Linked DNA regions of Pelodiscus sinensis. The protein of the gene in region 4 purifies or fractionates together with the protein of the main gene of each other region. This does not show direct contact. Links are inferred from orthologs where the notes say so. Each region holds a gene or a part of one and is shown on either strand. Other genes may lie near its edges. The genes, in order: VAMP3, VAMP7, VTI1A and STX8.

Region 1 (7,859 bases), on a different chromosome or scaffold from region 4:
ACACACAGACACCCGCCCCCGCCTGTCCCCCCCCCGGGACACACAGACACCCGCCCCCGCCTGTCCCCCCCCAGGGACACACAGACACCCGCCCCGCTGTCCCCCCGGGACCCGCCAGTCCCCCGACCCCCGCCTGTCCCCCCAGGGACACACAGACACCCGCCCCCGCCTGTCCCCCCCCGGACACACAGACACCCGCCCCCGCCTGTCCCCCCCCCGGACACACAGACACCCGCCCCCGCCTGTCCCCCCCCCCGGGAAACACAGACACCCGCCCCCCGCCTGTCCCCCCCCCGGGACACACAGACACCCGCCCCCGCCTGTCCCCCCCCCGGGAAACACAGACACCCGCCCCCGCCTGTCCCCCCCCCGGGACACACAGACACCCGCCCCCGCCTGTCCCCCCCACGGACACACAGACACCCGCCCCCGCCTGTCCCCCCCCAGGGACACACAGACACCCGCCCCCGCCTGTCCCCCCCAGGGACACACAGACACCCGCCCCCGCCTGTCCCCCCCCAGGGACACACAGACACCCGCCCCCGCCTGTCCCCCCCCCAGGGACACACAGACACCCGCCCCCGCCTGTCCCCCCCCCAGGGACACACAGACACCCGCCCCCGCCTGTCCCCCCCCAGGGACACACAGACACCCGCCCCCGCCTGTCCCCCCCCGGGACACACAGACACCCGCCCCCGCCTGTCCCCCCCCAGGGACACACAGACACCCGCCCCCCGCCTGTCCCCCCCCAGGGACACACAGACACCCGCCCCCGCCTGTCCCCCCCCCAGGGACACACAGACACCCGCCCCCGCCTGTCCCCCCCCCGGACACACAGACACCCCGCCCCCGCCTGTCCCCCCCCCGGGACACACAGACACCCGCCCCGCCTGTCCCCCCCCGGGACACACAGACACCCGCCCCCGCCTGTCCCCCCCCCGGGACACACAGACACCCGCCCCCGCCTGTCCCCCCCCCGGGACACACAGACACCCGCCCCCGCCTGTCCCCCCCCCAGGGACACACAGACACCCGACCCCCCGCCTGTCCCCCCCCCCAGGGACACACAGACACCCGCCCCCGCCTGTCCCCCCCAGGACACACAGACACCCGCCCCCGCCTGTCCCCCCCCCCAGGGACACACAGACACCCGCCCCCGCCTGTCCCCCCCCCGGGACACACAGACACCCGCCCCCGCCTGTCCTCCCCCGGGACACACAGACACCCGCCCCCGCCTGTCCCCCCCCCAGGGACACACAGACACCCGCCCCCGCCTGTCCCCCCCCCCAGGGGACACAGACACCCGCCCCCGCCTGTCCCCCCCCGGGACACACAGACACCCGCCCCCGCCTGTCCCCCCCCGGACACACAGACACCCGCCCCCGCCTGTCCCCCCCCCGGGACACACAGACACCCGCCCCCGCCTGTCCCCCCCCGGACACACAGACACCCGCCCCCGCCTGTCTCCCCCCGGACACACAGACACCCGCCCCCGCCTGTCCCCCCCGGGACACACAGACACCCGCCCCCGCCTGTCCCCCCCGGACACACAGACACCCGCCCCCGCCTGTCCCCCCCCCGGACACACAGACACCCGCCCCCGCCTGTCTCCCCCGGACACACAGACACCCGCCCCCGCCTGTCCCCCCCCCGGGACACACAGACACCGCCCCCGCCTGTCCCCCCCCGGACACACAGACACCCGCCCCCGCCTGTCTCCCCCCGGACACACAGACACCCGCCCCCGCCTGTCCCCCCCGGGACACACAGACACCCGCCCCCGCCTGTCCCCCCCCGGACACACAGACACCCGCCCCCCGCCTGTCCCCCCCCGGACACACAGACACCCGCCCCCGCCTGTCCCCCCCCGGACACACAGACACCCGCCCCCGCCTGTCCCCCCCCGGACACACAGACACCCGCCCCCGCCTGTCCCCCCCCCGGACACACAGACACCCGCCCCCGCCTGTCCCCCCCGGGACACACAGACACCCGCCCCCGCCTGTTCCCCCCCCGGGACACACAGACACCCGCCCCCCGCCTGTTCCCCCCCCCGGGACACACAGACACCCGCCCCCGCCTGTCCCCCCCCGGACACACAGACACCCGCCCCCGCCTGTCCCCCCCCCGGGACACACAGACACCCGCCCCCGCCTGTCCCCCCCCAGGGACACACAGACACCCGCCCCCGCCTGTCCCCCCCCCGGACACACAGACACCCGCCCCCGCCTGTCCCCCCGGGACACACAGACACCCGCCCCCGCCTGTCCCCCCCCGGACACACAGACACCCGCCCCCGCCTGTCCCCCCCCGGGACACACAGACACCCGCCCCCGCCTGTCCCCCCCCGGACACACAGACACCCGCCCCCGCCTGTCCCCCCCCCGGGACACACAGACACCCGCCCCCGCCTGTTCCCCCCCCCAGGGACACACAGACACCCGCCCCCGCCTGTCCCCCCCCGGGACACACAGACACCCGCCCCCGCCTGTCCCCCCCGGACACACAGACACCCGCCCCCGCCTGTCCCCCCCCGGACACACAGACACCCGCCCCCGCCTGTCCCCCCCCGGGACACACAGACACCCGCCCCCGCCTGTCCCCCCCGGACACACAGACACCCGCCCCCGCCTGTCCCCCCCCGGACACACAGACACCCGCCCCCGCCTGTCTCCCCCCGGACACACAGACACCCGCCCCCGCCTGTCCCCCCCCGGGACACACAGACACCCGCCCCCGCCTGTCCCCCCCCGGACACACAGACACCCGCCCCCGCCTGTCCCCCCCCGGACACACAGACACCCGCCCCCGCCTGTCCCCCCCCGGACACACAGACACCCCGCCCCGCCTGTCTCCCCCCGGACACACAGACACCCGCCCCGCCTGTCCCCCCCGGACACACAGACACCCGCCCCCGCCTGTCCCCCCCCGGACACACAGACACCCGCCCCCGCCTGTTCCCCCCCCGGGACACACAGACACCCGCCCCCGCCTGTTCCCCCCCCCGGGACACACAGACACCCGCCCCCGCCTGTCCCCCCCCGGACACACAGACACCCGCCCCCGCCTGTCCCCCCCCCGGGACACACAGACACCCGCCCCCGCCTGTTCCCCCCCCCAGGGACACACAGACACCCGCCCCCGCCTGTTCCCCCCCCCAGGGACACACAGACACCCGCCCCCGCCTGTCCCCCCCCGGGACACACAGACACCCGCCCCCGCCTGTCCCCCCCGGACACACAGACACCCGCCCCCGCCTGTTCCCCCCCCCCCAGGACACACAGACACCCGCCCCCGCCTGTTCCCCCCCCCCCGGGACACACAGACACCCGCCCCCCGCCTGTTCCCCCCCCCCGGGACACACAGACACCCGCCCCCGCCTGTTCCCCCCCCCGGGACACACAGACACCCGCCCCCCGCCTGTTCCCCCCCCCCCGGGACACACAGACACCCGCCCCCGCCTGTTCCCCCCCCCGGGACACACAGACACCCGCCCCCGCCTGTCCCCCCCCCCGGGACACACAGACACCCGCCCCCCGCCTGTTCCCCCCCCCGGGACACACAGACACCCGCCCCCGCCTGTCCCCCCCCCGGGACACACAGACACCCGCCCCCGCCTGTCCCCCCCCCATGGACACACAGACACCCGCCCCCCGCCTGTCCCCCCCCCCGGGACACACAGACACCCGCCCCCGCCTGTTCCCCCCCCCGGGACACACAGACACCCGCCCCCGCCTGTTCCCCCCCCCCGGGACACACAGACACCCGCCCCCGCCTGTTCCCCCCCCCGGGACACACAGACACCCGCCCCCGCCTGTTCCCCCCCCCGGGGACACACAGACACCCGCCCCCGCCTGTCCTCCCTCCCGGGACACACAGACACCCGCCCCCACCTGTCCCCCCCCCCCCGGGGACACACAGACACCCGCCCCCGCCTGTCCCCCCCCCCCGGGGACACACAGACACCCGCCCCCGCCTGTTCCCCCCCCCGGGACACACAGACACCTGCCCCCGCCTGTCCCCCCCACCCCCCCCGGGACACACAGACACCCGCCCCCGCCTGTTCCCCCCCCCGGGACACACAGACACCCGCCCCCGCCTGTCCCCCCCCCCCCGGGGACACACAGACACCCGCCCCCGCCTGTCCCCCCCCCGGGACACACAGACACCCGCCCCCGCCTGTCCCCCCCCGGGACACACAGACACCCGCCCCCGCCTGTCCCCCCCCGGGACACACAGACACCCGCCCCCGCCTGTTCCCCCCCCCCAGGACACACAGACACCCGCCCCCGCCTGTTCCCCCCCCCGGGATACACAGACACCCGCCCCCCGCCTGTTCCCCCCCCCGGGACACACAGACACCCGCCCCCGCCTGTTCCCCCCCCCGGGACACACAGACACCCGCCCCCGCCTGTCCCCCCCCCCGGGACACACAGACACCCGCCCCCGCCTGTTCCCCCCCCCGGGACACACAGACACCCGCCCCCGCCTGTTCCCCCCCCCAGGGACACACAGACACCCGCCCCCGCCTGTCCCCCCCCCCGGGACACACAGACACCCGCCCCCGCCTGTCCCCCCCCCCCGGGGACACACAGACACCCGCCCCCGCCTGTCCCCCCCACCCCCCCCGGGGACACACAGACACCCGCCCCCGCCTGTTCCCCCCCCCCGGGACTCACAGACACCCGCCCCCGCCTGTCCCCCCCCGGACACACAGACACCCGCCCCCGCCTGTCCCCCCCCCCCCGGGGACACACAGACACCCGCCCCCGCCTGTCCCCCCCACCCCCCCCGGGACACACAGGAGCCCGAAGCCCCCGCCCCCTGCCCCTACAGTGCCCAAGGCAGCAGGCGCAGGCGCAGGCGCACGCGGCGAGCACGCGATGTTCGGGAGCAGTCGGTGGGCGGGGCTGGGGGCGGGGCGTGTCCGACCCCGCCCCCCCAACCGTCACATCCGGACCGCGCCCGCCTGCCCCGCGGCGGTTTCCGGTGCAGTGCTGTGTGTCGCCTCGCGCCGTTAGACTCCCCCGCAGAGGCTCGCGCCGCCGCCATGTGAGTGCGGGGCCCGGGGAGGGTGTGACGGGCCCTGCGGCCGCCCAGCTCTCGGCGGTTGCTGGGGGGCGTCTGGGGGGGGCCAGGCTCGGGCTACACGGGGGGGCGCGTCTGGGGGGGCGGCCAGGCTCGGGCTACACGGGGGGGGCCGCGTCTGGGGGGGGCCAGGCTCGGGCTACACGGGGGGGGGCGCGTCTGGGGGGGGCCAGGCTCGGGCTACACGGGGGGGGCCGCGTCTGGGGGGGGCCAGGCTCGGGCTACACGGGGGGGGGCGCGTCTGGGGGGGGCCAGGCTCGGGCTACACGGGAGAGGCGTGTCTGGGGGGGGCCAGGCTCGGGCTACATGGGGGGGCGTGTCTGGGGGGGGCCAGGCTCGGGCTACATGGGGGGGGGCGCGTCTGGGGGGGCGGCCAGGCTCGGGCTACATGGGGGGGGCGCGTCTGGGGGGGCGGCCAGGCTCGGGCTACATGGGGGGGGCGCGTCTGGGGGGGCGGCCAGGCTCGGGATACATGGGGGGGCGCGTGGGGGGGGCCAGGCTCGGGATACACGGGGGGGGCTGCGTCTGTGGGGGGCCAGGCTCGGGCTACATGGGGGGGGCGCGTCTGGGGGGGCGGCCAGGCTCGGGCTACACGGGGGGGGCGCGTCTGGGGGGGCGGCCAGGCTCGGGCTACATGGGGGGGGCGCGTCTGGGGGGGTGGCCAGGCTCGGGCTACATGGGGGGGCGCGTCTGGGGGGGGCCAGGCTCGGGCTACACGGGGGGGGCGCGTCTGGGGGGGGCCAGGCTCGGGCTACATGGGGGGGGCGCGTCTGGGGGGGGCCAGGCTCGGGCTACATGGGGGGGGCGCGTCTGGGGGGGGCCAGGCTCGGGCTACACGGTGCCTCATTTAGGTGGCTGCTCTTGGCCTGCAGCCAAGTGGACACGGGCAGGCTCCCTACTTGCCGGGCCCTTGTGGTCAGCTGCAAGGGCCACGGGCAGGTGGCCCCCACCACAGCCAGCCACTTTGAGCAACTTGGGTGGAGGCAGCGCACAGGGAGTCTGCCTGAAGCCCCTGCTAGTCCACAGCATGGTACTGGGTCGGATCTTGCAGTTTTCTGGGCCATATTTTGCCTGCCCCTGTATTAGGGTGACAGAAATTTAGATGGGATTGGTCCTGCCTAGAGCAGGGGGCTGGACTTGATGACCTTCTGAGGTCTCTTCCAGTTCTATGATAAGGGGTTGGTTTGAGAACATGATCTTGGTAACTAATTGACCATTCATTATCAGTGGGAATAGGCCAATGGAGGGATGATAGGAGTTACTCTAGAGAACTTTCTGGGTGTCTGGCTGGTGAGTCTTGCCCACATGCTCAGGCTTTAGCTGATCGCCATATTTGGGGTCGGGAAGGAATTTTCCTCTAGGGTAGATTGGCAGAGGCCCTGGAGGTTTTTCGCCTTCCTCTGTAGCATGGGGCACAGATAACAGCTGGAGGATTCTCTGCATCTTGGGGCCTTCAAAGTATTTGAAGGCTTCAATATCTGAGATCTAGGTGAGAGGATTATTCTGGGAGGGGTGGGTGAGATTCTGTGGCCTGCACTGTTCAGGGGATCAGACTAGATGATCATAATGGTCCCTTCTGACCTTAAAGTCTGAGTCAAAAAAGTCTTTATTTCTAGATAGTGTGCAGAGATGGTGTAAACTCTGGTTCTGCTTTGACTCCATGACTGATGGCTGTGAAATAAACAAAGGCATTCATCTGAGCCACTAGCTAGTGAGGGAGCCTTTTAAACAAAAGAAAGGTATAGCCTTTTGTTTCTTTGGCCTAGCTGGTTGAGGGAGAGGTATTGTGGGGATTTTTTGTTTTCTTTTGGTTTTGTGCTGTTTTCTTTTATGAATTAAACATGGTAATTTGGTGTTGTTTTTAAAATGTCACAGTGTGATGGAGTATCTTCTAAATTGGCCTCCGCAGGGTGTTTATAGTGACTTTGAGGATTCCTGTGGCACTTTGGAGACTAACAGACTTGTTAGGGCATAAGCTTTCATGGGTAAAACTCACTTCATCAGATGTATTGGAGTGGAATTTACTGAGGGAGGGGCTGTGTGTGTGTGTGTGTGTGTGTAGATATATGCACACACAATTTGCACACATACAACAAACGAGGGTACTTGTGTAAAATGAGGCTAATTGAGTCAGAGTGGGGTAGTGCTTTCCCTTATCAACTAATTGTGTTGAGCGTGACCAGGAACAGGTAACAGGAGAGTTTGGAGAGGGAGTTCTCCAGGTAAAAGAGGAGTAAAAACGGGACTCTTGTGGTAAGTGGCTGTCTGGAGTGTGTGTTTGTGTGGGGGGGAGTTTGCAGTGTGCTGAGCTTGTGTTTGTCTGTTTGGTTTGTTTGTTTGAAGGAGCTTCTAAAAGGTTTGAAATCTAGAAGCCTCTGTTAATTGGCCGAGCCTCAGGCAGGGGGAGGGACTACCAGAGCTATATAAGCCTGTGACTCAGCGACCAGGGAGAGCATGACCAGGAACAGGTAACAGGAGAGTTTGGAGAGGGAGTTTAGAGGGCACTAGTGACTTGTGTCCTTCTTTAAAACCTAACTCTTAGAATAATCTATACTCCAGAAGTTTAAAAAGAATCCCAGTTTATACTTAAACTTATTCATTACAAACATGGAGACAGAAGCCCAGCAGCAGAGTGGGGGCTATCCTGTTTATTGCGTCCAGTGTAACATGTACGATTACCTGCCCTGTGGGCAGGTGGCGTATGTGTGCAGCCATTGCAAGGAGCTCCTGACCCTCAGAGACCGAGTTCGGGCTTTGGAGGACAGGGTGGC
Region 2 (7,138 bases), on a different chromosome or scaffold from region 4:
CCCTATCCCCGGCCCTCATCCAGCTTCCTCCTACCCCCCATACCAACCCTGCCCCCCCTCGTCCAGCTTCCTCCTACCCCCCATACCAACCCTGCCCCCCCTCATCCAGCTTCCTCCTACCCCCCCATACCACCCCTGCCCCCCCTCGTCCAGCTTCCTCCTAGCCCCCCCATACCACCCCTGCCCCCCCTCATCCAGCTTCCTCCTACCCCCAGTAACACCCCTGCCCCCGGCCCTCATCCAGCTTCCTCCTACCCCCCATACCAACCCTGCCCCCCCTCGTCCAGCTTCCTCCTACCCCCCCATACCAACCCTGCCCCCCCTCGTCCAGCTTCCTCCTACCCCCCCATACCAACCCCGCCCCACCTCGTCCAGCTTCCTCCTACCCCCCCATACCAACCCCGCCCCACCTCGTCCAGCTTCCTCCTACCCCCCCATACCAACCCCGCCCCCCCTCGTCCAGCTTCCTCCTACCCCCCCATACCAACCCTGCCCCACCTCGTCCAGCTTCCTCCTACCCCCCCATACCAACCCTGCCCCACCTCATCCAGCTTCCTCCTACCCCCCCATACCAACCCTGCCCCCCCTCGTCCAGCTTCCTCCTACCCCCCCATACCAACCCTGCCCCACCTCGTCCAGCTTCCTCCTACCCCCCCATACCAACCCTGCCCCCCCTCGTCCAGCTTCCTCCTACCCCCCCATACCAACCCTGCCCCCCCTCGTCCAGCTTCCTCCTACCCCCCCATACCAACCCTGCCCCCCCTCGTCCAGCTTCCTCCTACCCCCCCATACCAACCCTGCCCCCCCTCGTCCAGCTTCCTCCTACCCCCCCATACCAACCCTGCCCCCCCTCGTCCAGCTTCCTCCTACCCCCCCATACCAACCCTGCCCCCCCTCGTCCAGCTTCCTCCTACCCCCCATACCAACCCTGCCCCCCCTCGTCCAGCTTCCTCCTACCCCCCCATACCAACCCTGCCCCCCCTCGTCCAGCTTCCTCCTACCCCCCCATACCAACCCTGCCCCCCCTCGTCCAGCTTCCTCCTACCCCCCCATACCAACCCTGCCCCCCCTCGTCCAGCTTCCTCCTACCCCCCATACCAACCCTGCCCCCCCTCGTCCAGCTTCCTCCTACCCCCCCATACCAACCCCGCCCCCCTCATCCAGCTTCCTCCTACCCCCCATACCAACCCTGCCCCCCCTCGTCCAGCTTCCTCCTACCCCCCCATACCAACCCTGCCCCCCCTCGTCCAGCTTCCTCCTACCCCCCATACCAACCCTGCCCCCCCTCGTCCAGCTTCCTCCTACCCCCCCATACCAACCCCGCCCCCCTCATCCAGCTTCCTCCTGCCCCCCCATACCACCCCTGCCCCCCCTCGTCCAGCTTCCTCCTGCCCCCCCATACCAACCCTGCCCCACCTCATTCAGCTTCCTCCTACCCCCCCATACCAACCCTGCCCCACCTCATCCAGCTTCCTCCTACCCCCCCCCATACCACCCCTGCCCCCCCTCATCCAGCTTCCTCCTACCCCCCCATACCAACCCTGCCCCCCCTCGTCCAGCTTCCTCCTACCCCCCCATACCAACCCTGCCCCCCCTCGTCCAGCTTCCTCCTACCCCCCCATACCAACCCTGCCCCCCCTCGTCCAGCTTCCTCCTACCCCCCATACCAACCCTGCCCCCCCTCGTCCAGCTTCCTCCTACCCCCCCATACCAACCCCGCCCCCCTCATCCAGCTTCCTCCTGCCCCCCCATACCAACCCTGCCCCCCCTCGTCCAGCTTCCTCCTACCCCCCCATACCAACCCCGCCCCCCCTCGTCCAGCTTCCTCCTACCCCCCCATACCAACCCCGCCCCCCCTCGTCCAGCTTCCTCCTACCCCCCCATACCAACCCTGCCCCCCCTCATCCAGCTTCCTCCTACCCCCCATACCAACCCTGCCCCCCCCTCGTCCAGCTTCCTCCTACCCCCCCATACCAACCCTGCCCCACCTCATCCAGCTTCCTCCTACCCCCCCATACCAACCCTGCCCCCCCTCATCCAGCTTCCTCCTACCCCCCCCATACCAACCCCGCCCCCCCTCATCCAGCTTCCTCCTACCCCCCCATACCAACCCTGCCCCCCCTCATCCAGCTTCCTCCTACCCCCCCATACCAACCCTGCCCCCCCTCGTCCAGCTTCCTCCTACCCCCCCATACCAACCCTGCCCCCCCTCGTCCAGCTTCCTCCTACCCCCCCATACCAACCCTGCCCCCCCTCATCCAGCTTCCTCCTACCCCCCCATACCAACCCTGCCCCCCCTCGTCCAGCTTCCTCCTACCCCCCCCATACCACCCCTGCCCCCCCTCATCCAGCTTCCTCCTACCCCCCATACCAACCCCGCCCCCCCTCATCCAGCTTCCTCCTACCCCCCCATACCAACCCTGCCCCCCCTCATCCAGCTTCCTCCTACCCCCCCATACCAACCCCGCCCCCCCTCATCCAGCTTCCTCCTACCCCCCCATACCAACCCTGCCCCCCCTCATCCAGCTTCCTCCTACCCCCCCATACCAACCCTGCCCCCCCTCATCCAGCTTCCTCCTACCCCCCCATACCAACCCCGCCCCCCCTCATCCAGCTTCCTCCTGCCCCCCCATACCAACCCTGCCCCCCCTCATCCAGCTTCCTCCTACCCCCCCATACCAACCCCGCCCCCCCTCATCCAGCTTCCTCCTACCCCCCCATACCAACCCTGCCCCCCCTCGTCCAGCTTCCTCCTACCCCCCCATACCAACCCTGCCCCCCCTCGTCCAGCTTCCTCCTACCCCCCCCATACCAACCCTGCCCCCGCCCCACCCCGCCCCGCCCCCTCTCACCTGCGCCGCGGCCTCGCTCTCGGGCAGGGGGAGTCTCCAGCCCCGCGCGCTCTTCACCTGCCTCCTCCTATCGCTGGCCCCGGCCTCCGCTCCGCGAGCACGTGCACTTCCGCCGAGGACGCGCCCGTGGCCGCCGAGCCTCACGGGAAATGTAGTCACTTGCGCGGGGCGGAGCCACTTCGCCCGAGCCGCGCTGTACGTTGGGAAGCCCCCCCCCCCTGCCGCTCTGCATGCTGGGTAGTGTAGTTCTGAGGCGAGCTCGGAGAGCATGGCTGCTCCAGCTGTTGAGCTGTCACGCGCCTTCTGGGGAGACTCACCCGCAGCCGCCAATCGCAGCCAGACTCCAATTCGAAGTCACTGTCCTGTGGCCATAACGCGCCACAGGGCATCCAGACTGAAAGTCACAGTCACAACTGAGTTCAATCCAGACTGAAAGTCACAGTCACAACTGAGTTCAATCCAGACTGAGTCACAGTCACAACTGAGTTCAATCCAGACTGAAAGTCACAGTCACAACTGAGTTCAATCCAGACTGAAAGTCACAGTCACAACTGAGTTCAATCCAGACTGAGTCACAGTCACAACTGAGTTCAATCCAGACTGAAAGTCACAGTCACAACTGAGTTCAATCCGGACTGAAAGTCCCAGTCACAACTGAGTTCAATCCAGACTGAAAGTCACAGTCACAACTGAGTTCAATCCGGACTGAAAGTCACAGTCACAACTGAGTTCAATGCAGACTGAAAGTCACAGTCACAACTGAGTTCAATCCGGACTGAAAGTCACAGTCACAACTGAGTTCAATGCAGACTGAAAGTCACAGTCACAGCTGAGTTCAATCCAGACTGAAAGTCACAGTCACAACTGAGTTCAATGCAGACTGAAAGTCACAGTCACAACTGAGTTCAATCCGGACTGAAAGTCACAGTCACAACTGAGTTCAATGCAGACTGAAAGTCACAGTCACAACTGAGTTCAATGCAGACTGAAAGTCACAGTCACAACTGAGTTCAATCCGGACTGAAAGTCACAGTCACAACTGAGTTCAATGCAGACTGAAAGTCACAGTCACAACTGAGTTCAATCCGGACTGAAAGTCACAGTCACAACTGAGTTCAATGCAGACTGAAAGTCACAGTCACAGCTGAGTTCAATCCAGACTGAAAGTCACAGTCACAGCTGAGTTCAATCCAGACTGAAAGTCACAGTCACAACTGAGTTCAATGCAGACTCCCATCACTTCCAGCTCCCTGCGCTGCACTGGCCAGCAAGCAGCAGCATGTTCCCCAAATGTCTGTCAGACCTTCTGCTCTACCTCGCCCCTGAGAACAGGCCTGCACAGTGTGATGGAGATTCACAGCCTCTTGTTTTGAGGTGGGCAGCCCTGGTACTGTAGCATCTCACACAATGCTGTCTGCCAGAGGTGTAGTAGGACACTGTTCGCCTCTTCTGAATCTGCCCCATATTTCAGCACCAGTCATGCTCAGCTCATCTTTTTCTCTGACTAGCCCTCTGTGCAAGGATGATGTCTGCCTGCAGCATTCCCTGGTATAACCTTGGAGAAGTGACAGGTGTAACTGTGGAGAAGACACAGCTGTTGGCTGCGCTGTCATGGCCTTTCTTTCTTCCTTTGTCACTTTTCTCTCAAGAGTACATCTGTTCTTCCCAAAGCAAGCTTTGGCTTGGTGCATGGTGTTCTGTGTTTCACACCGAGTCATTTCAATTTGTTGGGTTAATGCATCCCTTTTTAACATGTACTTTCAATATATCTTTGAAATGCTTCTGCTTCCCTCTATAAGCCCTTCTTCCTCAATTTAATTGAGAGAAGGATACTTGTTTCAGGAGCAAAAGACAGGACTAGGCAGCACTTTAAAGACTAACAAGATGGTTTATTAGGAGATGAGCTTTCGTGGGCCCACAAAAGCTCATCACCTAATAAACCATTCTGTTAGTCTTTCAAGTGCTGCATAGTCCTGTCTTTTGTTTCAGCAAGACCAGACTAATACGGCTACATCTCTATTACTATGGTTTGAGGAGGTGAGTGATAGGCGTATTCAGAGTGGCCAGTATATCATGACCCGTGTTTCTATGCTGCTGATGTTGGCTAGAGAACACTGACATTAGTGCATTTGGCTTCTCAGCAGAATCTGAGAATGTTCCTGAGGCAGCACTGCTGGAACCATTCCAGTCATGTGGGATGTTTGTAGAATACCAAGGTTTCCTACAAACTGCTTTGTAAACCAAGATCTTACCTGTTTGTAGATAACCAACCCCTACCCATATTTAATTTAAATTTGCGTAGTCTTCCAAAAGATGTGCTGACACAGCAGAACCTGTATTCAATTTCTGTGTCAGTACCAGCTGTTTGGAAGAGGTGGCTGCCAAGGTACAGAAAACGATCCACATTTTCCAGAGGTTCTCCGCTGACGGTGATTTGTGGAGTATGAAGAGTAGTTTGTGCAGGGGAGGGCTGATGGGATACCTTTGTTTTCCCAATGTAGAGAGACAGACCCAGGGTGTGATAGATAACTGCAAAAAGATGTAGAGTGCTTTGCAGATTGGCTTCTGCGTGTGCAAGAATGACAGTCACCTGCATACTGATTAGTGATGCCATTTCTTTTAATCTTAGATTGTGTTTGGAGATATTGGAGATTGAGGAGTTGACCATCCATATGATACTCAATCCTGGTGCCATCAGGAAGGTAGTCATGGATGAGAATCAGGATCATGACAAGGTACATGGAGAACTGTGTTGGACCAATGACACCAACTACCGGGCATTTAAAAATGGTGGCGCCCGGGAACATGCAGATGAAAGCTGGGATATTTAAATCCCGGGCTTCATTTGCAAGTACAAATGACTACATTAGCCACTCTAGTTTGAACTAGGGTGGCTGGTGTAGACATACCCTAGTGATGAAAATGCATAGTTAGGTGCCAAGAACATAGCTTGGTGAGGTACTGTCCTTTAAACGTAAATTACTCTGTAATTTTTACATCTCTTCATTTCCTAATCCTGCTCTCACTGCACCTCTCACCAGTAGCCAGTGTCATACTAAACCTTGGCTAGCTCCTATGAATGCCTCTGAGTGGAATTAACATGGGACAGCAGCAGTGTTACCAACCCCAAGAGTTCAAACTTGAGCCAGGCCCCTCCAAATTATGAGACTGATTTAAAAAACTCAATTCACAAAATCACTTTTTTTGGTTTGGTTTGAAGATTTATAATAGCACATTTGGAGCTCTTTTTTTCTGGTTTTCAATATCACCACTCCTTGCAATTTTCCTGTGAGTGGCACAATATTTGGTGGCTATGTTAGCACCTCAGGTTATGGAATCAGATTCTTTCCTGAACATTTCAGCTTTCATTTGTTAAAAAAAGGTAAATTTTTGGCTCTTTTGGGTGCAGAGAAGAGCTCTAAATTGTGACCCATACACGTACCAGCCCCAGAAAGCAAACAAAAAGAAATCCAACTTTATTATTTTGAAATTTCATGATTTTTCAGCCAATCTCAAGATTTTAGGGGGAGGGGTCTTGATTCATTACTTTTAACACATTTTGAACCTTTTGGCTGCACTCAGGTCATATTTGCAAGCGTCTCTTCAAGAGAGGGCGAGGCACTGGAAGCTGACATTGGCGGGCAATTACACACCCCTTGGCGCTGGGGCATGACGAACTAGAACAAACCGAGACCGCAAGGAGCAGCCCTGCGCTGCCGTAGAGACCCGCGTGTTTATCGGGGCACGAGCTGTCCCGCGGGAAACCCGCCTCACGAGATGCCCAGGAGCGGAGATTCCCAGCGGGCAGCGCGGGGATGCCCGAAGCCCGCCGGCCGGGCTAGGACTACCCGTCCCAGAATCCCCAGCAGAGCCCGGCCCCCGCCAGGCAGCCATGGCCGAGGAGGCGCAGGGGAAGCCGGCGCTGGAGCTGGTGAGTGTCGCGGCCGGGCCGGGGCTGCCCGGCTGGATGCGGGACGCGCCGGGGGGTTCAGGCTGGTGGCCACGTGGTGACCCGCAGCCCGGGTCCAGCCCGCAGGGAAGGCGCGTGGCCTGTGCCCTGCGGATGGGGCGGGTCAGGCTCTGGGCTGGGGGCTGCCCCTGAGCAGAACGGCCCAGACCTGTGCAAAGCTGGTGCCTGGCGTGTGCCCCCCCCAGGGCACGTGGGTTCTTTTTATTTGCTTTCTGGGCTTTGAGCCTTTGGGGCTTATGCTCTCAAACGTCTCCCACTGCCTCTAGCGCTAGAGACATTACTCCTCACTTTAAAATGGAAACAGGTTCTCGCATGA
Region 3 (8,000 bases), on a different chromosome or scaffold from region 4:
CTGTCAGTGCAGGCTGAGTCCAGAAGTGGTGCTCTAATGAGTGAAGCCAATTCAGGAAAATGTCTCGTAGATATAATTGCCAGGTTTCAATGTTTTATTCTTCCATCGGCATCCAGACAGCATCATGATGGTTCCTATGGCGACATCTCCTCCAAAGCCACCTGAACAATTGTCAATATATCTGGAGCACCCTGTTTGTATTAACAATGGTCAGAATCATCCCTCTCAGCAATGCTTTCTCCATGCTGCCTAACAGCAGTTTGAAAAAAAAAAAAAAGAATGTTTTTGGAAGTTCAGTTTGAAAATGAAACTGACAAGATGTCTATCGCCTCCACTGCTAACCATATGCAGATAAAAGTCAACGGTATCTCACTTCTGTGCACACACAATCAGCACAGTAATAAGGATCTCACAATGCATACAAGACATTTACATGGACAGTGCAAGTGATGTCAAAAGAATGTAAGTATACTAGATTATGGTCATCTCATCTTAACAGGAAAATTAGTAAGAAATTAGCAGTTTCTGATTATTAATCCAGAAACCGTGTAAAATGGTCTCCATTATAAATATCGGTAGCACATGGCTTTCAACAAGCTTGCTCTGCAACTTCTTAATTATGGTTTACCAACAAAAGCCCTAAATCTTAAAAGTTTTCTATGTTAATCTTCTATCCTTAATTTTAGATTGTAAACAGTAATATTTCACCAAGAAAATTGAAGTTTAGAACAACTTGCTTTGATTTTTGTAATGTCATTGGAGAATGGCTAGAGAAATACATTAATCTTCTGGGAATAAATGTCAATTGTTCAAATAGAAAGAATATGAAAATTAAGTCATTTTAGAGTGTAGTTTTACCCTGAGAAGTGACTAAAGAAGAAATCTGCCCCATGAATGTGTTCAGGTTTATACTTGCTTAAGACGATATGTTTTTAATTGTATTTTACTCCCATCTTACTCTGTTTTCTCCAATTCTTATGATGTACCTATCACCACCATAGCCCTGCAAAGACATCACAATGATAAGAGAGCTGTCTGCAGTTCTCAGGAAAATAATGCTGAACCAGTTTATATGTAGCACAGGTCTTCACAGATTCAACAATTCTTTTATAAAATGGATTTTAAATCAAAGTTGAATCTGGCAAAAAAAAAAATGACAGATTCAGCCCCCACTGCTCTCACAACTAGCAAATATATTTTTCAAGTCTTGAAATAATTAATCCTCACAAACGCCCACATGAAGAAGGCAAGCAAGATTCCCTCTCTCAATTCAGAAAAAAGCACACCCAAAGAAAACTGAGAAAGAGGTCAAGAGATTGTTTGCCTACAAATACGCAGCATGCCAGGGGAGATGTATTAGAACTCAGACAACAGACAGTGTTGAGAATATGTAATGGTTTTAGCACCTATATGCTAGAGTTCTAGAAAAGCATTATTAGTCAGGGGATAGTGTCTTTTATCTCAAGCAGTCAGACTATCACTTGTATATTCTTGATTCACACCCTAAGAGGGACAGAATTCTTAAACACCAAGGAACTTTAACAAAAAAGATGAAGTCATCAGCTTTTATTTCCTAATGTATTTCTCCAATCATCCTCCAATTAGTTAGAAAATTAGAAAAAATCAAATCAACTTCTTGTACTGTGATAGCATCACTTCACAGATTAGGATCCTATTGTGCTAGATGCTGTACAAACACCGAGCAAAGTCTTGTTGAACAAAACATTCTATATCAAGAATAAAGTTACACTTTGTTACAGAGAAGATGAAATAACAGGGCCCTCAATGGTCTCTGCTAGCCTTAAAAAAATGCATGTGTCCATGGTTATGGAAATACCTTCCCACTTGTGAATTGAGAGCAAAATGAGCTACTGTTCACTTCCTGACCCCTACAGACTGCGTTCCAGAACATCTGCTGCTGCTCAGACTTCCACCCACTGAAGATGTTTCACCTGTATCTCCACCTTATTAGCTGGCATGAGGTGGAAAGGAGGACAGGACACTCCAAAGCAAGACTGAAGTGGGGCCTAGTATGAACCCCCAGCTAGCTAGTGGTAGAAAGTGATTCGTATATCACCCCCCTCCAGACCATCTCAACAACCTCTAGATACCAAGATGTCCAGCACACTCGCCCTGGCACTGAAAGTAGCACCTAAGCAGGGCCCCTCCCCTTCCTCTTCTCAGTGGAGGCCAACATCTCTGTCTCGGCACCAGCCCTCCTTTGCTCCTCACCTCAGCACCCGCTCCAAACCCCTGCACCAGCCCCCCCCTATCTCCGACCCCAGCACCCCCCCCCCCCAGCCTTCCCCTGCTCCCCCCCCAGGGATGTGACTATTAACCAGTAAGCCCCACTCTTAACAAGTGGAGATCACCAGGTAGGGAGAACAGGTCCAGGCAGGAGCAGCTCCCCACCTGCAGCCGGGGGGGGGGGGGGCAGAGCAGACGTGAGCCGGGGAGGCGGCTTCTCGCCCGTTAACCGCTTAGGAGACGAACCGAGAGGTTTGTCCAATTAGCCACGTGACGGATTTTACCCCCCGCCCCGCGGCTCGCAGCCCCCGCACGCACCGCCCAGCAGCTTGGGCACCTTCCCGATCCGGCCCGTGACCTCCGCTGTCAGCACCGCGAAGTCCTGCTCGTAGCCCTCGAAGTCGGAGGACATGGTGGCGGCCGGGGACCACAAGCCGGGCTCAGCTGCTCTCGGCCAAGAGGCTTCCGCGTTGTGTCGCAGCCAAAAGCCTCCCCCTCGGAATCGGCAGCCGCCGCCGATGGTTCCGGCCGGGACTCGGTTCTGCCGCCGTCCCTTGAGAGCTCCAAGCCGCCCAGATCTTCCCTCCTCTCCCCCCCTCACTCCCTCGCGCTGCCCTCCGGGCCCTGCGCAGGAGCCTCCGGTGACTAGGAAGAGCCGAGTCCCGCCCTAGCCCAGGGCCCGTTCGCCACCTCCGCCCAGTGTCTGTCCGCTAAAACTCCCCTGGTGGGGGGGGATACGCGCCCCCACGAGCGGCGCCGATTCAACCCCCGGCAGCAGGTTTCCGGGGGGACCCACTTCTGAGAGAAACCGCCAGGCCCGGACAAACATGAAGCGAGGGCGGAAGAGACGCGTTTGTTTCCGGGTCACAGGCGCGCGCCTCCCGGAAGTGCTGGCAGAGGGGCGCGCCGCGGGGCATGGCTCGGCCGGGGATGTCGGAGGGGCTGAGGTGAGCTGGGGAGGGGCCTGGCGGAAGGGCGGCTACACGGGCTGAGGTGAGCGGGGGGGGGGAGGGGAAGGCTGAATCTGGAGCCTGGTGGGGAGGTCCCAGGGGGATCCAAGGCGGTGGGGGAGGGGCCGCTGCAGGGGGAGCGGTGGGGAGGCGAGGCCAGGCCCTAGTGGGACTCCTGCCCGGGCCGGGCTCAGAGCGCTGCCCTGCTGGCGCGCGGGAGGGGAGCCCAGGCAGGAGGCTGCAGGGGCCCCATGCGCTAGGGGTGGGGGCCGAGCAGACACTGACTGTGGGACCGGGACCGGGGCTCGATGTCTTCTCCCGGTAGCCTGACCTGACGAGAGTAAAACTCTCAGGGCGTGGGGAGGGGCCACCTCCTCGTTTCGGCTGCTGCCGCCGCTGCATATAGTCGCAGAGCCTCTCTGGCTCTTCCAAGAGCGCTTTCCCACAGTGGAAATACTGTCAGCCGGCTGCTGGCCTCCTGTTGTACAGGGACTGAGTTAAGAACCCTGCCATGCGGTTTTAGCAAGAATTTCCAGTTCTCCTGATGTGGTCTTTCATGATTTTTAACTGATATTTCTGCACTGTTTTATTTCGTTTAAAAAAAAGTATAAAAAGGCACCTATGCAAGGATCTAGGTCTGTTTTTATTAATATCAGAATACAAGCCAAGCAGTGTGAAACGAATCATTTCACAAGAACCTAGTTTAAGTGACAACACAACTTCCTGGACTGTGCATTGAACTCTTTTATTGCAGTTGACTTACAGAGCCTGTTTTGTTTTCCTTGATTTAGAAATTCTCCTGTTTTTGTGTTTCTAGGTCGAGGATAGAACCAAGTTGTCCTCCTGAGATGGATGTGAATTGCTCCTACAACTGATGACTCTTCCAAACATTAGAAATGTCTTGATCACAATTAACTATCTGGTATTTGTAGGGATGACCATTATTGAAGATGAAAACTTATGACAAATGGAAAACTGTAATCAAAAATAGGAAAATTAGGAACATTGAATACTATTTGAAGTAGGACAAGTACTCTTCTTCAAAATGGGTGCACTGTGTTCAGTTATCAAGTTTGAGAATCTCCAGGAACTGAAGAGACTTTGTCACTGGGGCCCCATCATAGCCCTCGGTGTGATAGCAATATGTTCTACTATGGCTATGATAGATGCTGTTCTGTGGTATTGGCCTTTGGACACGACGGGAGGAAGTGTAAATTTCATCATGCTCATAAACTGGACTGTCATGATTCTTTACAATTACTTCAATGCCATGTTTATTGGCCCTGGATATGTTCCTTTAGGATGGAAACCAGTAAGGAAATACAGTAAACTTTCACTAATAGTTAATTTTCATGATGAAATCTTAATATTGATCTTTGTTAATAGTTCAGTAATTCAGAAATTATATTCAAACCTCGCTTGCTTTGTCAGTACAGTTTAAGTAATTCTGTGAAAGTAGCATGTCGTAAACCAGGATGTCAAACTCATTAGAAGGAAAGGGCTGGATTCTGTTGCAGTATGGTCAGTGGGTTGGTTCAAGATCCGTATACTTGTCAAAATACGTCCTTTGATGTCAGTAGAAGGTTTGTACAAGGAGGAGAATATGGTTTTATGTAGTAATTAAATATTTGGTTATTGTTTGTTCAGTGCTTTCTTTTCATAAAGCTCAATGAGAAAATCTATCCTTTGGGCATCCACTAGCTCTGCCTCTTGTTCCTCTTCCTTCACCATCAGCCTTTCTGTTTTTGTCCTCTTCTGTGTTCTTAGCTCTGAATTTCCTTCCCTCCATCAACTCCCAGTTTCCAATCCATTGTGTGTCACTTCTGCCTTTTGTCCCCATTTCATCCACTAAAATGAACAGTGGTTAAATAATTAATGTTGACTCGGTGGTGGTGGTGGTGGTTTATTGTTGGTACTCCAATCAGATTAATAGAGAATGGTGGTATTCTCCCCTTTGAGCCATTGTTTCAGGCTGTTTGTGCATGCACACAGATGTCACTGTATCTATTACACTTGGTTCCCATTTGCAAAATTATATACCGTTGTGAGCACTAGTAAGCCAAGCTTTAATTTAAAAAAAAAAAAAAGGTTCTGGCAAATATGAATGTCGTGTGGGCCATATGGATACATCAAGAGGGCTGGATGCAGCTCCATGGGCCATTTCTCAACACTTTTGTAAGCGTAGGAGGTTGCATTTCTTGCGCTGTCAGTTTTAACAATCTCCTCGAGCTAATTCAAAAAGTATTCACACACAATGGAAGAGCAGCAGTACATTTGAAAGCAGTCGGCCAGAATCTTTTTCACCAGTATGCCAGTGGGATGGTAATGGTTCTGGCTTTACAGTGCTTTGCAATAGAAAGATGAGGGAGGGAACCTAAGGCTGTCCTAAGGGTAGCTGGGCATTCCACTTTAAACAGGGAAATCACTGACTGTATGCCACCCCAGTCTTCTGGCCCCTCCTACTGCTGTAGAGAGCATATTGGGTTGACAAGGAGGTTGGCTAGAAATCTTTGTGTTCTTGATCACTGGTAACATCAAATATCTTTAAGGGCCATAGCCTGTTGGCATAAATTAGAGCAGCCCTAAGGCTGCTTTAACTTCCTCTGGAGTACAATTAGGTCCAAGGCTGAGAGAAGAAAGAGAAAAATAGATGCATAAATAGAAGCAAATTTCTAAGGAGTCAACCCTGCCAGTTATTCCACAAAGGTTGACCTGTACAGGGGCTGCTTGTGCAGAGTAACTTTCAGGCTGAGGGCCTAAATTTTTCAGATGGAAATGTATTTCTTTTGTAAGGCCCCGCAATTAAAAAGAGTTAATTGGAATAGTAGCTAGAAGTTTTGCTGATTTCTCTCCTACGCCTTTCTGCCATTTAAAAAGGGTGAAGATAAATCACACCCAGACAAAGCAAAGCACAAAAGCATTATAAAATTGCTTAGGCTACTACACTTAGGCTAGTGCTTACTCTGCTATTGGAATTGTGTTGTTTCTCATATGCATCTTCTTGTGCTTAAAGGAAAAATCTCAGGACTGCATGTATCTCCAGTACTGTAAAGTGTGCCAGTCATACAAAGCACCACGTTCACACCACTGCCGAAAATGTAACAGGTACAGTTTTCTTTGTGTTCCTTTTTTTTCCTGGTCTTAAAGCAACTTATTTTTTAATGGTGGATTATTATTATTTATTTGGTGTATTGCACTGTGCAGGTAATTCCATGTTCAAAACACTATGCTAATTTCCAATATTGGACTACATTGCTTGAAGGAGGAAATGGATTTCCCTTACTGTTTTGACAATAGAGAGCATATGGGCTTAAAACCATTATCTTTAGATATGCTTATTTTTAAAATTCTGAATAGTAGTTCCCCCTAAGAATGTTTTAAATAATAAATTATCTGTGTAGTGAGGTGGGAAGACAAAAGCACTTAGTAAATATCCATCTCTTGGTTGACCACCTCAAACTCACACCTCTACTTTTTAGATAAAGAATGTTGATTTCAACAAAGGCCCAATTCTTCCATTTTTATACCTGGATAAAAAGTAAATGGAAATCTTGGGCTGGAAGCTTGTGACATCTTTTTAGGAAGCAAGAACTGAACTTATTGTAAGCATATCCAAAAGCCTCCTGGTTCAGCATAATAAACCTATAGTATAAACTTTCTAAGTGACTGTGAACTGGCACTTGATAAATCTTTCAGTTGCTTTGTTTTGAGTTTAAATAGTTTTGTTAAACCGCAAATAGCTTCACTGGAAGAGAATATGGTGTGAAAAGATGCACAAACACTTCTAGTTGTTGGAGGTGTAAATGGTTAACCTGTAGCAGCTGGGCTACTGTGGGTAGGGGGCTGCTCCAGTCTAGCAGGGCTCACCACAGACAGGGACTGCTCTGGCCAGCCGGCTGAAGCAGCCCCTCTCCATGGCAGGCCTGGCCTGGCCTCACTTCAGGTTAAACACTGGCTCCCTGAGAACAGGCCAGCAGGAGTTGCTTGCCCCACTCTTGGGGAGCCAGCTTTGTTGCAGCTGCAAAACCTCGCTAGGAGGAGGTCCAGGAACCAGATTTGCTGTATACTTCAGATCCTACAGAAAAGCCTCCCCAGGAGCAGGGCCGGCAGTCCTTGCCAGCCCCACTCCCAGGGAGGGTTCGCTGCGGGCTCTGCAGTATAAAGCTTGCTACAGGGTCCACAGAGCGGGTAACCCTATAACCACTAGGATTTTTAGCAGTTAGAGTTACATTTTTAAATGACTTTTTACATCCCTATTAGCGATCTGCTGTACAGTATGTATATACAGTTCTCTTGTTTAGTTCAGCAGTGCCTGATCTGAAAACCATTTGAGAACGTAGAAGAAGGAAGTTACTTCATTCTCATAGATTTATTTCTGCTCCATCATTGTGTCATTACAAGAAGTAAGGAATCTGAAACTGAGGAACAGCAGCACTATAATTTGTATATACATCAGTATATGCTTCCTTTTTTAAAAATGTAAAATTAGACTCCTATCTACAAGTTACTGTTTTTTCCAAGAACTGTTGATTTTGAAAGAGATGATAGAAGTTATGTAATATTTGCTTTAACTATGTTGTTCTGTTAACAGTTAACCTTTCATATAACCACATATTTGAAGAATTTAGGCTATCAGTATAGCATACTGAACTTGTTCATAGCTTGAGTGCAAATGCTGAGCTTTTGTAAGGTAAGGGAACTAGCAGCAGAAAATAGACTAGATCCATTATTTCAAACTAGTTATCAGAAAAAAAAATGAAGGGGAGGAGGGAGATGTGACTTGTATGTGCAGGTTTTCTAGAA
Region 4 (7,888 bases):
AAGAACAAGCCGGGCTCTCATCGCAAACAGCAGTGCAGTATGATGCCGGCAAGGAAAGGAGAGTAAAAGGCATTCACTCAGCTTGACTCAATGGCTACGTCTAGACTGGCATGATTTTCCAGAAATGCTTTTAATGGAAAAGTTTTCCGTTAAAAGCATTTTAGGAAAAGCGCGTCTAGATTGGCAGGACGCTTTTCCGCAAAAGCGCTTTCTGCGGAAAAGCGTCTGTGGCCAATCTAGACGCGCTTTTCCGCAAAAAAGCCCCGATTGCCATTTTCACGATCAGGGCTGTTTTGCGGGAAAAAAATCTCTGCTGTCTACACTGGCCCTTTTGCGCAAAAGTTTTTCGGAAAAGACTTTTGCCCAAACGGGAGCAGCATAGTATTTCTGCAAAAGCACTGACAATCTTACATGAGATCGTCAGTGCTTTTGCGGAAATTCAAGTGACCAGTGTAGACAGCTGGCAAGTTTTTCCGCAAAAGCAGATGATTTTGTGGAAAAACTTGCCAGTCTAGACACAGCCAATTTCTTTGGGATGCCAACGCTTTATTTGCTTAACATTTAACACACACAGAATAGTAAGAATAGGTAATGAAGCGACACACAACGCAAAATAAACCACAAGCTAACTTCCCCTTTGAGTCTGTAAAACTGTGCATGTGCTTACATCTTGACAGGACTTGGTGTATACTGAGTGGGTGAAAAATACTGAATTGCCTTCTCTTCCAGAAAGGTACCCAATTTTGATAGAATTAACTAGAAAACCTAAATTAAAAGAGATGTTTACAAATACTAGCTCTTTCAGGAACATAGGATACCTTAGTTGAATTTTCACCATTTCTTTGACATCGGTTACGTTCCTGGATTTTTTCAGCAATCTCTTGTGCAATGTAACAGGTGGAATCGTACATCGACAGCCTGTAAACAGAATGTTTTCAGATAGCTAAGATAATTCTCTCCAGTCATCTCTGTGTCGAGAATCTTGGTTTGAGTCTCTTCTCTCAATCAAGGGTTTAGGGCAGGGATGGGCAAAATATAGACCGTCTGACATTTCTGTCCAGCCCACCTGACTCTTGGCAATTGAAGAAACTACTTTGGCTGCTACCATGGCAGGGGCTGGAGCACCAGGCCCTTTAAATTGCCACCAGAGGGCAGGAGGCACTGAAGAACTGGCTGGGGAAGGCTAGCACCCCCACCCTTCCTACTAAGGCATCATCCCTTCCGGGATCCCCCCAACCTTGCTCTGGATAACAGCTGACTTCACCTCCCTTGTTAATGCCCATTAGAGATTCTCTTCTTCACAAAATTTCCTTTTTTCGTTTACACTTAATTTTACTAATGAACAGAAGCTGTAAGTAAAAGTTTAGCATTAGTGTTATTAGAAGGCAATTTATATTGCAAACTGTAAGACAAGCTTTGGATACACGTGTATTCAGGTAACTAAGTGTAATTGCTCTGGTGCATGAAGCGCATAATGGGGTCTTTCAACAATAGATGGTGAGGTAATTTCATTAAGAGAGTAGAAACATGTGGTCTGTGACAACTTACCAAAATTCATGGTGTGGCCCCACTGAGAAAATTATTGCCCACCCACAGTTTAGGGAGTTTATCACTCAAAAAAACCACTCAGTCCTTGAAATATTAGGATAAAGCTAAACACAAAGCAGATGCAAGAAACAGGCCTGCTTAAAACCAAAACCAAGATACCGGTAGGAGTGCTTCCGACAATCTAGGATTACACACAGGCTAGGTGGTGTCATGTCAAACAGTCAGAATTACTACAGATCCCAGGACAGAGGGGGATTACACGCCTGCTACAAGCCTCAGAGAGAGTTCAGCAAGTTACTAAATGCAAACATACTATAGTGACACCCAACCCCTATCTCCCCAGGGATTTCTAATGGGCCCATCACAGGGACGATATGAAAGCACAGGACCAGTGAATGTACCTCTCAGCACAGGATTTAAGTGGTGATGTACTTGTGTAGTTAGTACTGGTCCCCAGCACCCTTCCCACCAGGCCTGTTCTGGCCTCTCTAGTCATGTTTGAACTTTGCTGCCCTGCTCAGACGGCCAGGACACGCCCTTGCAGGGTTTTTTGAAAATGTAAAGTCTCCTTCCTGTTTGCTTGGGGTAGTATGTTCTCAGCACACCCCTCTAGCTGGCCATGCCTGCTCCGTGCATCAGGAGATCCCTGCGTAGAGCCAGGCCAAGGTGCTAGACCCCACCAGCATTTGGGGAGAGGAGGCCGTGCAGCCACGATCAGCATGTCCGCAGATGCAGAAGGGAAAGGAGCCAGGACCAGGATGCAGCGCAGGGTCCAAGTGAACAGGCTGCAAAATGCCTGCCTCAAGGCACGCACCTCGGGGCCATCCAACACCAGGCTGGGCGTGCGGGGGAGGAGCGGGCTCTGCGCGGTTCGCACCCCTGGGGAGGGGAGCCACGGGCAGGAGCGGGCGGGTTTGTCTGTTCTGTGCGGTACCTGCGGACAGCGGCAGCCAGAGGGGAACGGGCTCGTGTCCGGTCACGTGCCGGGCTCCCCGCAGACTCTGCCGGTACCGGACCCGGCGCCCCTTCAGGAGCCGCGCGCGTCTGCCCAGGTCGGGCCCGGGTCGGAACCGGCGAGGCGGAGACGAGCAACGCGGAGTGGCGGGGGGGGGGGGACTCCCGGGCTCGGCGCACACGGGGCGGGGGCGGGGCGGCCCCGTTCACCGCCCGCAGGAGCCCCCTCCCCCCGGGCGCGCCGCCCTGAGGCGCGAAGCGGGAGCCGAGGCCGCGGGGGCCCCGCATGCCGGGGGGGCTCCCCCCGCAATGGGCCCCGAACGGGGGGGGTCCGGGCCCCACAACCCCCCGCCCCCGCCGCTCACCAGGGGTCCGGAGCCATCCCTGCGCCCGGGGCTGCTCTGGAGCCGGCCGCTTCCGGGCTGGCTCAGCTGCCTACGGCAGGCGCAGAGGCTCAGCGCGGCGGGGGAGGGGGGGCACATCCGGGTCCTGCCCAGGGGGCGGAGCCACACCCGGCCAGGCCCCGCCCCCGCGGGTGGCAGCCCGGTGGGGGGGGCGGAGCGAGGCGCGGCGGTGCCGCCCCAGCCCCTAAGGCTCAGCCCCCCCCAGCATTGGGGCGCTCGCGCTGGTGCTTCACCCCCCCCCCCGGGACCGGAGCGCACAAAGTCCCCAGGCTCGGGGGGGTCAGTGCCCCCCCCCCCTCCCCAGGCACAGCGCCCTGCGGGCGGGCCGGTGTCAGGCGCTCAGCACACGCGCCCCTGGAGACAGACAACGGGCCAGGCCGCCTTGGTCCAACTGGGGACACGTTAGAAAACAAACCGGACCAGGTAGCACCATAGAGACCAGCAAGGGGGTTTGTTGGGTGCTGAGCTTTCCTGGGCCCTAGGGACTAACACAAACACGTAGACGGGCATCGTGAGCTTCCGGGGGCACAAGCCGCTTCTTCAGCTGAACGGAGTTCAAGGGGTGGGTGCAGTTTTCAAATAAACAGCACAGAGAGCAGATGGGGGGGGAGAGGAAAGGGAAAGAAATGATCAATTAGCCTGTCCATGCTAAATGAAGCTGATAAAAGTGCTAAGTACTCTCTTTGTTTGTTTGTATGTCCTTAGGATGTGGAGTACAGCGGGCCATCCAGCCAATGTCTTTGTTGAGACTGTTGTAGGAATCAAACCTGGAACTGAAATTAAGTTCTGTAGTTTCCCGTGGAGCTGGCTTTTGAAATTGGTTTGAAATAATACGGTGACTTTGAAATCCATTAATAAGGCCCCAGGCAAGTGCCTACTAGATTTTCTCTTTGATGCTTCACCCTTTCTGCTCCTTTGGTTGTAGCAATGGAGGGACTAGCCTGGACAGCCCTATCCAGCCTCAGGGGTTGGAGCACTGTATCATCCAGCTCTGTTCAGAGCAGGTCTCCAACACAGAGCTTTGAAAATGCACGTTTTGCCTACGCTCGTCCCACCCACTGCCCCAATCTCTGGGAGCAGTAAGAGATTAAATTTGTAGCAAAAAGTTCCCAGTGTAGACAAGCCCTTAGAGATCACTTCATTTTTCACGTGCTCCTGCAGTACGGGAGTTAGCCCTAGTGCTCCCGCTAACAGTTAAATGAGAGCAGTTTGGGACAGTGAAACTATACTAATTAATTTCACATTTGTTTTTTAGCCCTTATCACTGGCCGGTTCTCTTGAAATATCTGCCTTATATTGGCACTTTTCCCCATAATAGCAGAGTATCAACCAAAAGTAAAATACTGGTAACAATATTTCTTCCTTCCCTGCTGGTAAGAAGCAGGATTAAAATGTTTAAGAGCAAGAGGGGACTCAAATATAAAAGCCTGAGAGGGAGGAAGGCTTCACTGAAGAGGTGAGGTTGGCATTTAGCTCTGAATGCAACAAGGACAAAAGCTTGCAAAGATGATTTCTATGGGCTCAAAAACCAGAAGGCAAAACAAAAATTCCTTTTTTAAACTCAGATATTTTTCAACCTTTTCATTAGTTTGGGGGTGGGGGACTGACTCATGATAGTTGAAGACTTGGGGTTGACAGTCTCGGAGCTGTAGAGGAAGAATTGTTCTATTAGGCAGCCAGATCCCCCTCTCCGGAGACCTTCAAGTAGACTCTGTGCTGAGCGAGGAATCAGCATACGCAGCAGGAAGATGTACAGTCAGCAACACGCATTGGCAAGCAGGTGAGCTACTTGCATTCTGAGCTAGCTGTAGTTTTGCTAGGGCATAGGACTCCATCCAAAGATCTACAGTGGTCAAGACTAGACACCACAGAAGCACAGTGGCCAAGTCCGACAGGCAGGGACACGGTCTTCTGCCTGGTCACCGACAGAGGGGGTGGCTTTGCACAATGTGCTTGCACAAAGCAGCAGTGTTTGTGTTGCAAACATTGCTCGAGAATGTTTATTTGTTTAATAAAACTGTTTCCACTTGTTTTTTTTAATTTAATGGAAACACTCCAAACAAACTTTGACCCTTTTGTGTAAAAGGCCACCTTTCACCTTGCTCTTGGCTGTAAGATCTGGGGGAGAAATGTATCTGTGATTGTTGCTTTTAAATGTGTATGGCTGATGTATAATGTTCACAACTTTACATTAGATTGTAAGCACTTTTAGGCAGAGCCTGTCTCTTCCTAAGTATTTGTACAGCACACAAGCACAGGAGAGCCCTGATGTGATTTGCGGCTTCTGACTGCAATTATGATAATATGGAGAAAACCCAAGGACTAATATAGTGGTAGTGGGAAGTTCTGAATGCAGCATTCATAGAGCTGTGAAACAGGCCTTTCTACCTGAGAAAATCAGGCTGTGTTCTCCACTTACAAACAGTTACATCCAATTGAAGAACTACTGAAATCCCCTAGCCATTACAGCGGCATGGTCAGAGTCCGTGAGATAGATGTTACCGGTTAAGAATGACGTCTAGTATTTTATGATCAATCTATTTCATTTATCTTTTGACTGGCCCCAAATGCCAGGTTAATACAAAATCCCAGAAGGGCCCTGCTCACAGATCATCCCAGAGCACCTAAACTCCTGGGACTAAATTCATGCCTGGCATTACACCACCAAAAAGCAATGGAAATGGGGTTTGCTCTGAACCACCAAAGTGACTGGTTTTCTTCTATTCAGCAGTAGATGCCCCAGATGCTGTTTGCAGGCTGGTGCTGCAGCTGCTTTATTTTCTGGTGAGCTATAAAACCAGCCATCTGACTGCTTGGACTCATTAAGGATCCCATGAGACGTTTTGACAGGCAAGAGATGTTTTACTCTGTCCTGCTCGTTACACCCTGCTGTGGGTAACTGCATTCTGCCTCCTTAAGTCCCACTTGAAATTACTATTGATTGAAAAGTCCAGTTACGACTCTGCATGAGAGTAAGCAGCCATGTGTTAACTGCTTGTGTTGCATTACTGTTTATTGACAAACAACAACCGGGTTCCAGGACTCCATTCAGTAACATAGGGGCTGTGTCTACACTGACGCGATCTTGTGCCAAAGTGGCTGCTCTTGCGCAAAAACTTGCTGCCTGTCTATACTAGCCGTGTGTTCTTGTGCAAGTAAACTGATGTTCTACTGTATAAAATCAGGGCTTCTTGCACAAGAACTGTGATGCTCCCGCTCAGGAATAAGCCCTCTAGTGCAACTGTTCTTGTGCAAGAGGCCAGTGTAGACAGGCAACATGAATTTCTTGCGCAAGAAAGCCCTATGGTTAAAATGGTCATCGGAGCTTTCTTGCGCAAGAGAGCGTCTACACTGGCATGGATGCTCTTGCGCAAAAGCACTTGCCAGTGTAGACGCTTTCTTCTGGAAGAGTTTTTGCACAAGAACTCTTCCGCAAAAGAGTTCTTGTGCAAGAAGCTGCCAGTGTAGACGTAGCCTAAATGTATCACTGCCCCGATGTGGCATGCTTTGCGGTGAGAGGTGTCACAGGAAAAGTTATTGACTTATTCTTGTTACTATTAACTAAATAATGCTGGCTCCGATAATTTACCCTTATCCAGGCACTTCTGCACTCCCCAGCGGGCCACATGAGCACAAGGGCGAGCTGAGATTACCAGCGAGGTCATGCTGCAGCGCAGCTTCGGATGTTCTTGCTTCTTTTTAAAATGCACTCCCCACCACCATGCCCCCCGCAGGCACCCACAAAGGAGCACTGGTATAAGGGGATAACCTTGTGCTCAACCCCAGCGCACGCTGCAGCCACGCTGCAAGTCTGTCGACTTACAGAAGCACCCGATCTCCCAAAGCTCCTTGGGCCCGGAATTGTGTCTTCCTCCCTGTGTTGTACTGTGCTGAGAACACCGAGGGCACCCAGCAAATAAGAGTGTTACTAATGGAGGGGCTCAGGTTAGAGACACTCGGCTCCTCGGCTTCAGCCAGCCTCTCCCACCTTGATCCTGTTGCACGAGCAACAAGCTAACATGTTTTCACTTGTCTGAACTCCTGATCTTATGATAATTACCATTAATGGAATATTTTGACATCCAGACCTGGAGAGCCTCTTAACACTGTACCACCAACAGTCGGCAGAAGGGCAACACCTATTGAGTGACAGCTCTGTGAGCTGGCAAACCTGACAGGCCCCTGCCCTCCCCCCGCCCCCCCCCCCCCACACACACCTGTTTTCCCTCCGTACCTTCCCCCAGCTTCTCCCCGGAAAGCCCTCGGGTAGTGCGCCATTTGTGGACTGTGGGCTCTCCCTGCTCCCACAGCCAAATGCCCTGAGAGTACTCCTCCTTCTGTGACCCCTGCCCCCCACAACTGGCGCTCTGGGTGCTCCTCCAGTTCTGCAAAGCGTGGGAGTTTTCACTGGAGGCGGAGGGCAGGGCTGGGCTATAAGGAAGTCAGGACCCAGCCGAATGTTGACACCATAAATATTTTGGCTGTGGGGGCCTACGCGGGGGAACTCGGCTAAGCTAAGTGAGTCTACGCTGTACAACAGCAGTTTCTCCAGGCCCTCTTGGAGCCAATGTCTTTCCAATAAACTAGTCACCTAGGAACAAAGCCCTAAAAGATTGTGGGGGATTTATCATGCAAGATCTGCTGGGCACCTTTTCTCCCTGTACGATTCATGCTGCAAATACAGCCAGCTATTCCCGTGGGTATTGATGCTCCAGAAGCTACTGGGGGCCACGGAGAGAAACGTTTTATTGCCCTAGCACAAGCCTATTACGGCAGGATTTCAGCTGCAATGACAAGAGGCATTTTCTGCCGCCGTGTGTACAGACTCCCCGCAGCACCTGTTGATCTCAGCACGGGCTGCTGCTTGGTGCTCATGCCCTTGTGGCTAGGTCTTGCTGTGCCCCATGCACCGGACCCCGCCTCGCCCCACACAGTCCTGGAAGGGATTAAGGTGGCCAGGTCGGCCTCTTGGCATCACAGGC

The links.
Region 1: the proteins of STX8 (region 4) and VAMP3 purify together in Homo sapiens (co-immunoprecipitation; 3 studies listed by BioGRID and IntAct, with this or other methods). This does not show direct contact. The link is inferred for Pelodiscus sinensis from reciprocal best matches to the Homo sapiens genes STX8 and VAMP3.
Region 2: the proteins of STX8 (region 4) and VAMP7 purify together in Homo sapiens (affinity purification with western blotting; 3 studies listed by BioGRID and IntAct, with this or other methods). This does not show direct contact. The link is inferred for Pelodiscus sinensis from reciprocal best matches to the Homo sapiens genes STX8 and VAMP7.
Region 3: the proteins of STX8 (region 4) and VTI1A purify together in Homo sapiens (affinity purification with mass spectrometry; 3 studies listed by BioGRID and IntAct, with this or other methods). This does not show direct contact. The link is inferred for Pelodiscus sinensis from reciprocal best matches to the Homo sapiens genes STX8 and VTI1A.

What each region holds. Positions count from the first base shown.
Region 1 is NC_134733.1:25,558,992-25,566,850, forward strand, and holds the start of VAMP3 (vesicle-associated membrane protein 3), read left to right. Parts: upstream 1-4,859; 5' UTR 4,860-5,050; coding exon 5,051-5,052; intron 5,053-7,859. UniProt on the Homo sapiens protein: SNARE involved in vesicular transport from the late endosomes to the trans-Golgi network.
Region 2 is NC_134723.1:279,406-286,543, forward strand, and holds the start of VAMP7 (vesicle-associated membrane protein 7), read right to left. Parts: upstream 3,012-7,138; 5' UTR 2,853-3,011; intron 1-2,852. Other genes in the region: DNA-directed RNA polymerases I and III subunit RPAC2-like, read left to right, coding at 6,745-6,783. UniProt on the Homo sapiens protein: Involved in the targeting and/or fusion of transport vesicles to their target membrane during transport of proteins from the early endosome to the lysosome. Required for heterotypic fusion of late endosomes with lysosomes and homotypic lysosomal fusion.
Region 3 is NC_134718.1:65,668,051-65,676,050, forward strand, and holds the start of VTI1A (vesicle transport through interaction with t-SNAREs homolog 1A), read right to left. Parts: upstream 3,009-8,000; 5' UTR 2,660-3,008; coding exon 2,566-2,659; intron 1-2,565. Other genes in the region: palmitoyltransferase ZDHHC6, read left to right, coding at 4,243-4,509, 6,211-6,302. UniProt on the Homo sapiens protein: V-SNARE that mediates vesicle transport pathways through interactions with t-SNAREs on the target membrane. These interactions are proposed to mediate aspects of the specificity of vesicle trafficking and to promote fusion of the lipid bilayers.
Region 4 is NC_134730.1:2,580,636-2,588,523, forward strand, and holds the start of STX8 (syntaxin-8), read right to left. Parts: upstream 3,017-7,888; 5' UTR 2,985-3,016; coding exon of another isoform or gene 2,885-2,984; coding exon 2,868-2,884; intron 2,606-2,867; exon of another isoform or gene 2,483-2,605; intron 919-2,482; coding exon 819-918; intron 1-818. UniProt on the Homo sapiens protein: Vesicle trafficking protein that functions in the early secretory pathway, possibly by mediating retrograde transport from cis-Golgi membranes to the ER.